Schizosaccharomyces pombe: one gene and its partner. The main gene of each other region encodes a partner of the protein of the gene in region 2 in a complex. Each region holds a gene or a part of one and is shown on either strand. Other genes may lie near its edges.

The links. Proteins that work in one complex are often made in the same cells at the same time.
Region 1: SPOM_SPBC3H7.04 (region 2) and mrps18 share a complex: the UniProt entries of both Schizosaccharomyces pombe proteins name them as parts of the mitochondrial small ribosomal subunit.

Annotation. Positions count from the first base shown.
Region 1 is NC_003424.3:4,966,164-4,970,431, forward strand, and holds mrps18 (putative mitochondrial ribosomal protein subunit S18), read right to left. Parts: upstream 1,700-4,268; 5' UTR 1,594-1,699; coding exon 1,060-1,593; 3' UTR 827-1,059; downstream 1-826. Other genes in the region: SHREC complex subunit Clr2, read left to right, coding at 1-726; gab1 (Pig-U family GPI transamidase subunit), read left to right, coding at 1,983-2,374, 2,602-3,436; tma23 (ribosome biogenesis protein), read left to right, coding at 3,729-3,842, 3,924-4,016, 4,081-4,268. UniProt on the Schizosaccharomyces pombe protein: Component of the mitochondrial ribosome (mitoribosome), a dedicated translation machinery responsible for the synthesis of mitochondrial genome-encoded proteins, including at least some of the essential transmembrane subunits of the mitochondrial respiratory chain.
Region 2 is NC_003423.3:1,874,080-1,878,398, forward strand, and holds SPOM_SPBC3H7.04 (mitochondrial 37S ribosomal protein mS42), read right to left. Parts: upstream 2,703-4,319; 5' UTR 2,481-2,702; coding exon 1,818-2,480; 3' UTR 1,575-1,817; downstream 1-1,574. Other genes in the region: SPOM_SPBC3H7.05C (uncharacterized protein), read left to right, coding at 380-1,453. UniProt on the Schizosaccharomyces pombe protein: Component of the mitochondrial ribosome (mitoribosome), a dedicated translation machinery responsible for the synthesis of mitochondrial genome-encoded proteins, including at least some of the essential transmembrane subunits of the mitochondrial respiratory chain.

The sequences.
Region 1 (4,268 bases), on a different chromosome or scaffold from region 2:
GATATTGAGCCTTGGTCCCGGCATCCACTCGATTTACAAAAACAAGAACATCTAGTTGCTCATTCTATATGTCAAACGTGGAACCTATTTGGTATCTTCCAGCCACTAGAAGGTATAGATATGGAAGAACCAAAGTTCCACGACGAAAATTATTCCATCCCTCTCACAGTTTTACCAACCTTTGGGGGTGAATCAAATAGTTTAGATGATCATTTTTACGGAATTTTCCGTGGAGCCGAAAAACTATGGATTAATGATTTATGTGTTATATCCACATCTTCACTGCCATCTGTACTTCAAAAAACAAGTTTTATGTACATATCTGATATTTATGTAAACGAAGATGACATTGTCTGTTTCCAAGGCTCACTATGGACACAAATTGACAAAAATGCACTCGATTATAATGACAGCGCTGACAATATTGATGAACATAAGGATGACTTAAAAGAATTACCAAGAAGATTACAAATGGTATCAAAACTATCAAACACATATTTTCGTTGCCTGCATGATAAATCTGTCGAGTACGTCTGCCCATTCGCAGATGTTTTGGGAAGATGGTATGAGCCTTGGTTCGTAAAAGGAGATTTAAATTACACTTCAGAAGTGAAAGAACGCACATCCAGTCGATTATCAGCAGTAGGCTCTGAAAATTGGGTCGATGACGATTTTTATGAATATTTACTGTCTGAAATTGATATGGTGTCAGCAGTTGTAATGTAATAAGTATGGCAGATAAAATTAGATATAGAAGTGTCTACTTATTGATCAGTGACGGTCATTATTTATAATGTAAATAATATGGGAATAATAATGTCTTTTGCATTTCATAAATTACAGAGAAAGATAGGTAAAAACTATTTGTGTTGAATTAGAGATGGGATATAGTTTTTTTTAAGAAATCATGTTGCACTATCACACCGGTATTAATAAATCATTTCTAAGTTCAGAAGGTCAAATACAACGGTGGAAAAGCACCAACAATGTTGGGCAGCAGATTAACTGCACAGGAAGATTACGTAAACGAAGAAAACAGAAAAGTAATATAAACATACTTCATATGCGTCGCTCCCTTCTACCTCTCGGTCCTCCAAATTTAATAGGTGTTCGATCCATAACCTTTACAATTTTGTCTCGAATTACGGCACCTTCTTGCCCTAATAAACAATTTTGTACTGCTTCCCTGGCCTGACTAAAACCATGAAATATAACATGCAAATTTTCAATACCAAGGCGCTTTACTTGGATTTGTTCCAGCACCTTGGAGCAAATGGTATAAGCAGCATCGTAGCCACGGCGCTTTCCTTTACGAAAACCACAGGTTCCTCCAGAGGCCCTAAAAATAATTTTTCTTTCAGGAGAACAAAGTGTAATGTGAGTGTTGTTCTTCAAACATTTGGCATGAAGGTAAAATGGCATTGGAATGGTATCCGTACCTTGCATAATCGGATTTGGCTCCTCCGTCCTTTTTGAAAAAGCTTTTGGAGTGATTGTGGATTCTAAAAGAGAAGAGAGTTCCTTTTTGGGCGCATTCCGCCTAGGACTCTGGCTCCAAAATCTTCGTAGTCCAACTTTTGTTAAATTAAGCATTAGATATTTGATGAAAAATAGCTTGCTAAGAACCGATTTGTAAACCAAAAATAAAATCAAAGAACTAAAAAATATGGATGAAAATGTAAAGGAAATGAAAAATGACAAATTGTAAGTAACCGAGTGCTTCAATACCATAATTTCTATACCAGGTAACTTATGTTACTCAACCTGTGGTAGTGGTATGAACGTGTAAATATTAACCTAAAACACTCTTCTCGTTTTAAAGAAAAAATAAAGAAATAAAAAATTAAAAATCTTACTTTGGTGGCTGCCTTAAAAGTTTTTCAAACGGATCATTTGGGATACCCAACGACTGTAATTTAAACGAAGATTGGTGAATTGAAAACACAAATATAACCCATCTTTTGAACAGTGAAGATTTTGCAATGATACCAAATGAGAAGCTAAAACTATTAGGTTTATTATCAATTTCTTTTTTTCTTCAATGGTATTTAGCAAACACTTGGATTGCTGAATTCCTTTACAGGCGAATCGAAGTATCGACGCCTGTATCCGGATTTTTACGTGTTCGTGAAGGACTTTACTTGTATGAAAACGGACTAGACCCCTATTCTGGTGGTGTTTTCTATCAGTCTCCACTTCTACTGATCTTAAATTATTGTTGTGAGTTGCTTGGAGGAATATCTGTCACCAGATTTGTTTATACTAGCATTTCTACTATGGGAGGTCTCTTTGTGTATTTAATTGCAAAACAAGCTCGTGTTTTAGACCCAAATCAAGTACTATCTACTTGTTCACCATTATGGATTTCCGTCATGTAAGTTACGCATATGGCTTGCGACAAAAAAAGTGAGACATTCTTCAAAAAAATGAAAAGCATTGTATCGTTGGTTTACAAAATTGTTAACGATGACTGTTCAAAGATTGAACTGCGTTGATTACACAGATTTCGTAGTCGATATTGAAAATGTGTACTTCTGTGATATATTTGTGTCGCAAACAAGTATCCTTAACTCAAAATTTACTAACAAAATATTACTTTAGTTATCTGCTTAACCCATTAACATTTCTTCCAGGAATTGCTTGCTCCGCAGACATGATACTTAATTTCACCACTCTAATGACCATTTATTTCGCCTCTTGCGGATCCTATGCAATTTATGCATGCTGTATGGCATTGACTGTATTCATTAATCCTAACGCTTTACTGTTATTTTTCCCCTCCTATCTTATTTTAAGAAAATGCAATTCATCCATTAAATTTCGTCAGATATTCGTTGTTTTTCTTTTTTATCTTGCAGGTCTGATAATAACTTCAGGCTTCTTTCTGAACTCGTTATCTTTTTTGAAAATTCCATTTAGGGTATACTTGGACTCTCATGATCTAACTCCGAATTTGGGTCTCTGGTGGTATTTTTTTACAGAAATGTTCAATGAATTTCGCACATTCTTCCTTTTTGTATTTGCCATTTTACCATTGATGTTTGTTCTCCCTGTTTCGATCCGTCTTTATTATCTGCCCTTGCCTATTACTATTGCTCTTATTGGCCTGCATTCTTTATTCAAAGCTTACCCAAGTATTTGTGATCTTTCAATATTTTTATCTCTCCTCCCAATTTTTAATAAAGTCCAAGACCGAATGCGATATAGCTTGCTTACAAATAATGCTATTGTGTTTGCGCTTGTACTGGGATCTGCATTTTACCATTCTTGGATAACTCTTGGATGTGGAAATGCAAATTTTTATTACGCAAGTAACCTCATTCTTGCTCTTGGACTCTCTTTAAAAATCATGGACTTTCTCAAGGCACTGCTTTTGGTTGATTGGTATGCCAATCACCCACAGCATGAAAATATTCCATTAAAACAGGTTCAATAAAGTAATCTGTTAATTAGAAAATGATATTCTTAGGCTTCATCTATCCAATTTCATCATTAGAGCCTCACCTTTCTGACCTTACGAAACGACCTTTTCCAATTTAACGTTTAGAAATTATTTATTCATACATACAAATAGGAAATTTATATTTCATATTTTTTTCCTTTTCCGAGACGATTCAAGGACTTTTTTTATTTTTTTTCATATTAGGTATTCATGGCATCCCATGGCACTACTCCCTTTACCACGAAGTACCCATGAAAAGTTTTATGCAAAACTTCATCAGCCATTGATGTTTAGTTCCAAAAGATATTTGAATTCCTTTGGTTGGGAGGAAGGAAACGCTTTAAAAGAAGGAGGGCTCACCAAACCAATTTTAACTTCTAGAAAATATAATACTCATGGGGTATGTCAGAATAAAAAATCTTAGAAAAAGATGGGTTTTTTCAGTAAAGTTATGTATGAATTTATTTTTAACACACGGTAGCTTGGTGCTAAACATGATATTGCTGATCAATGGTGGGATAATGTTTTTTCTGCTCAACTACAGTCAATTCAAGTAAATACGGACAACGGAAAGGTAAAAACAACTTAAATATACAATTTTTCCTATCTCTTTTACACAGTGCTAACATTTGGAAAAGGTTGCAGTCCAAAGCAATGGTGTATCTACAAAATTGAGAATGGCAAAATATCACAGCAAATATTCTGCTCTGTCTTCTGTGTTTCGTTATGCTGGTCGACTTTGTGGTACCTTTGAGGAAGATTTAGTTGATAAGAGTCTTGATTCCTCTGTTTCTCCAGTATCGTCCAAGAAAGTCAAAGTCAGAAA
Region 2 (4,319 bases):
TAACACTTTTTTTTCTTTGCCTTCATCATCATCATCATCATCATCGTTGTTCTTTGTTTCTTTCAATAAGCATTTTGTCATTTTCTTTTATCATTATTGTCTTTTTTTCATATTTTTGTCGGTTGACTGATTGATTGTAAATAAAGTCTCATAGTTATATAGAGTGTGGTTTGCCTTTTCTTATTGTTTCGCCTTGTCTTGTCTTGTCTCGTCTAGTGTTGCTTGTATTGTCTTACCCTATCTGTTCTTTTTCTTCACTTTTGTTTTAACTGCGAATTTTCTTTCTTACTTTTTTGCTTTTCTTCCTTTCCTATTCCTCCACTATAAAGTTTTCGGCGTTTGATCATCTACGAACACGATCTAAAATTCAATTACTTTCATGTATCCATTTTCTTTCGATCCTTCTTCCAAACTTCCAGTCACAGGTATTTATAACATCCTTCTGTTCAATCTATTCCCTTTAGCTACATACCTTGTCGAAACCTTTTGTTTTTTTCGCCGGTGGAAAATCGCCTGCACTTTGTTATGTTCCATCACGGTTATACTGGCGTATCGCATGTGTGCTGTCTATCACCATGTTGGTTATAAGGATGTCTCTACATTTGGTTTGGCATATGGCTTTCTCATTATGATGTCGCTTCGAACTTGCTTTTTGAGTTGGCGAGATATGGTACCTTCTCGCAACGATCCTGTACAAATCAGCGCTGTTAAGCGTCGTCGACCATTCATTCGTAACGCTAGGTGGAACTTTGTTGATTATGCACTTTCTTTGCGCAAGTATGGTTGGACTGACGACGTGGTTCCCCCTTACTGTAGAAAAGTGCTGACTTACAAATCTTTGGGGATACGTACTGCTGTCTATGTGGGTGCATTTTGTTTTGTCAATTGTTTTAAAACTCGTTTATCCAATTGGATGTTGCTTCCTATATCAGCCAACCCATGGTATATTCAAGTCGCATTTTGCGTAACCTCTGGATTCTTTTCATATTTGTTTATTAATGCCTTGTACTATTTATTCGCCATTATTTTTGTTCCTCTGGGAATTTGGGATATTGCAGAGTATCCATTAATGATGGGAAATGTATCTAAAACCACCTCGGTTAATGATTTTTGGTCCAGAGATTGGCATGTTTGTACCAAGCCCTATTTCAGAGTGATTGCTTGGGATCCAACTATTGCCCTCACTGGAAGTAAGTTTCTGGCAAGTTGTTCATGTTTTTTCCTTTCAGCATTATTCCATGACTTTGCCTATTGGTCAATTTCTGGACGCTGTTCACCTGCTTTCTTTTTTCAGCTTTTAATTCAACCTTTCCTTATTAATCTTGAAAAAAGGATTCCCCTCTTGCGCAAATATCATTATTGGGTCCTAATAATCGAAATGCTTATTAATGGAACATATGGTATGGGAGTCGTATTATTAAAATTTAAGTGGAAAACATGCTCGCAAATTTAATTTACTGTTTAATGTCTATGTTTGACCTTCCGAAACCTCTAAAGTATCAGATAATTGCTATGTGTCCTAGTTTATACATTTAATGGATGGTTCAACTAAATTAACTTTTCCGTAGATATTGTTGGAATGTTAAATAATATATAGAGGGAAACATTACATTTAGCATTCTAATTCTCATTCTTTGCCAACAGTAATTACAAAACTTTATTTATTTATAAGATTTGTTAATAGTATGGGTTTTTTCAATCAGATAAAGTGAACCCATAGTAAGCCACCATGATCACTTGCATACAAAACGTAGCCGGGAGAGGAGGGGAGAGAAGTAGAAAAAGATTGAAAATTGTGCAGGATTCAGTCGGGTTAGCTAAAGGGATTCAATGCGCGTAGCTTGGAATCTATTGTTGACGACCGTCCAATTGATCATATCCCACCATTTTGTAATGTACATTTTTTTACCATTTAAACCATAGTCGTCAAGATACGCATATTGCCAAAGGTTAACGCATAAAAGCGGTACAATTGCATTGGTACGAAACTTAGGAAATCCTGTTCCCCAAAGAAAGGCATTTGACGCATTGTACGTGCATAATAAGGAAAATAAAGATTTTTCTGGACTATATACCAACCACAGCCAACCATCACCAAAAACTGAATTGCCAACGTCAACCATTTGAGACTTCAACTCACCAAATGAACCGAAGGATGCATCAATTCCAGGCTTTAGGTTGATAGCTCCTAAATCTGCATCTGCAGAGGGCCGTTCTGGAGAAATAAGGCCGGAAAAGAAAAAATCATGATTTACCAATTGGCTAGAGTAATTGAATAAATTAGCGCGGGCTGGGTCACTAGCGCTTTGAACCATTAAATCTGAAGGCACACGATACGGAGTTTGATGAATTTTACATTCTTTTTGTACTAGGCCTCGTAAGTGGTTGTCATAAGCAAAGATATTCCTGACCGCATCTTTTGACAAAAAATTCTTGTAGCCCACGTCCAACGCTCTGGCGAAGCGCTGTTGAAAACTCATTTGTTAAATTGAGGTAATAGTTAGGGAATGGGTATAAAAAACTGCAATGGAAATCAAGTATGCGGGTTTAAATTTTGTAATCCTAAGAAATTGGCAAAGACGACCAAACTGTATAATTAATTCATTAAGTATTAACAAAATATGAAAATCAAATAGTGTAGATGCTACGTTTTTGAATGTTTGAAATATTTCAACTTCAATATTGGTAAAGGCGTTCCACTCAGACCGCTCAGAGAGAGGTAAGCAGCCCTACTGGCGCAAGTAAAATATCGGTATGAAAGTTCTGCATTCCTTGTTGCGATATATACCATTATACCACTATATAAATTTTTGAAGTTGAATTAACAGAAATCTAAAACTTCGTTGAAACTTAACTAGTATTACAATGAATTTGTTAACAAGTTTCCCAAAAAAAATTGTGAAAGTAATCTTAAAGCGTTCAACGGGTTTAAACGGTGGATTATAAAAGCCTTTATTCCCAATATGACCATGATTCAATTTAAAAGTAAGCTGTATGACTCATTTTCAATCAAATTTACTTCGTCTTTTATAAGAAGATTCATTGACTTGAGAAGAAGAAAAATAACTTTAATATTCGAATGATCACAACTTTTATGTGAAAGAACTGTAAATATGTTAAACGTTTATAAATGACAATTGTGGCCGTTTGGTCTAGTGGTATGATACCATCTTAGGGTGATGGTGGTCGTGGGTTCGATTCCCACAACAGCCCGATTTTTTTTTTTGTCTCAGTAATTCAAGAGACCCTCAAATTTTTTATGTAACCGTTTAGATTGCAGCCTAATTGTTCAAAAGCTTACTCAAATTTGATCTAAACATTCGTGATTAATCGTTTATGAAACCATACGCTAACGATTAATTAGGAATTGATACAGGTTCATAACACCGTTCATGGATTGGAAACATCTACCATTTATTTTTAGTTTTAGTTAACTAAAATTGTAAGTGCACTGCATTTTTTTCGAAGCTTCATTTCTTTCATCGTTCAAAAAGCTGCTTTGGCAATAAAAAAAAGTTTAAGGTTATTTTTAGCCGAGGCTACTGGGATTGTTTCATATGCTTACAAGCGAAATAGGGAATAACTAGCTGCATACAAATGTTTTTGAAGAATACCTACCATTGGGGCTGAGCTAGAAGAAATATGGGATTTGAGACAAAAAGATTACTACTATATTAAGGAAGAACTGCTGAAACTTAGACGGAATAACCCAAGTATGCATACATGCTGCCAAGCCCGGTCTTGTTGCAATTTCAGGCTCTACACAACAGTAACAAGTGATTTATGGATTACGGATACTTTTTTTAAATTTAATATTATCTGGTTATAGTTAAAATAGAAGATTGTTTCACTATCCACTAGTTTTGGATTACATGCCATTAGTGATCAGGGCTATAAGCGAATAATTTTCAACGTTTCATCTGACCCTGGTACAATTTTTTCAGTAAGTCACATATTTATTTATTTTTATCCAAAATAAGAGCTAGATGCGTATTTTTTACAGGCCATGCCACAGTCTTTTTTAATTGCTAATGTATTAGACTGTGTCAATGGTACGAGACATTACTAACGAGTAAAGGTAATTTCTTCTATAGGATAGATTAAATATACCACCTAGAATTAGCGATGATTTTTACACAAACTCAGCATGTCTGTTTTGTAATTACCAATCCGTTTAATTTATTTGATGTGCGCTCAAAAGATATATAACAATAATCAAGGACAAGAAGCATGAATAATTGATGACATACTAACATACATTTTAAATAAATTTTTGTAATACAACTAACCGTAATACATCGGTTTTAGTAACCATTTTT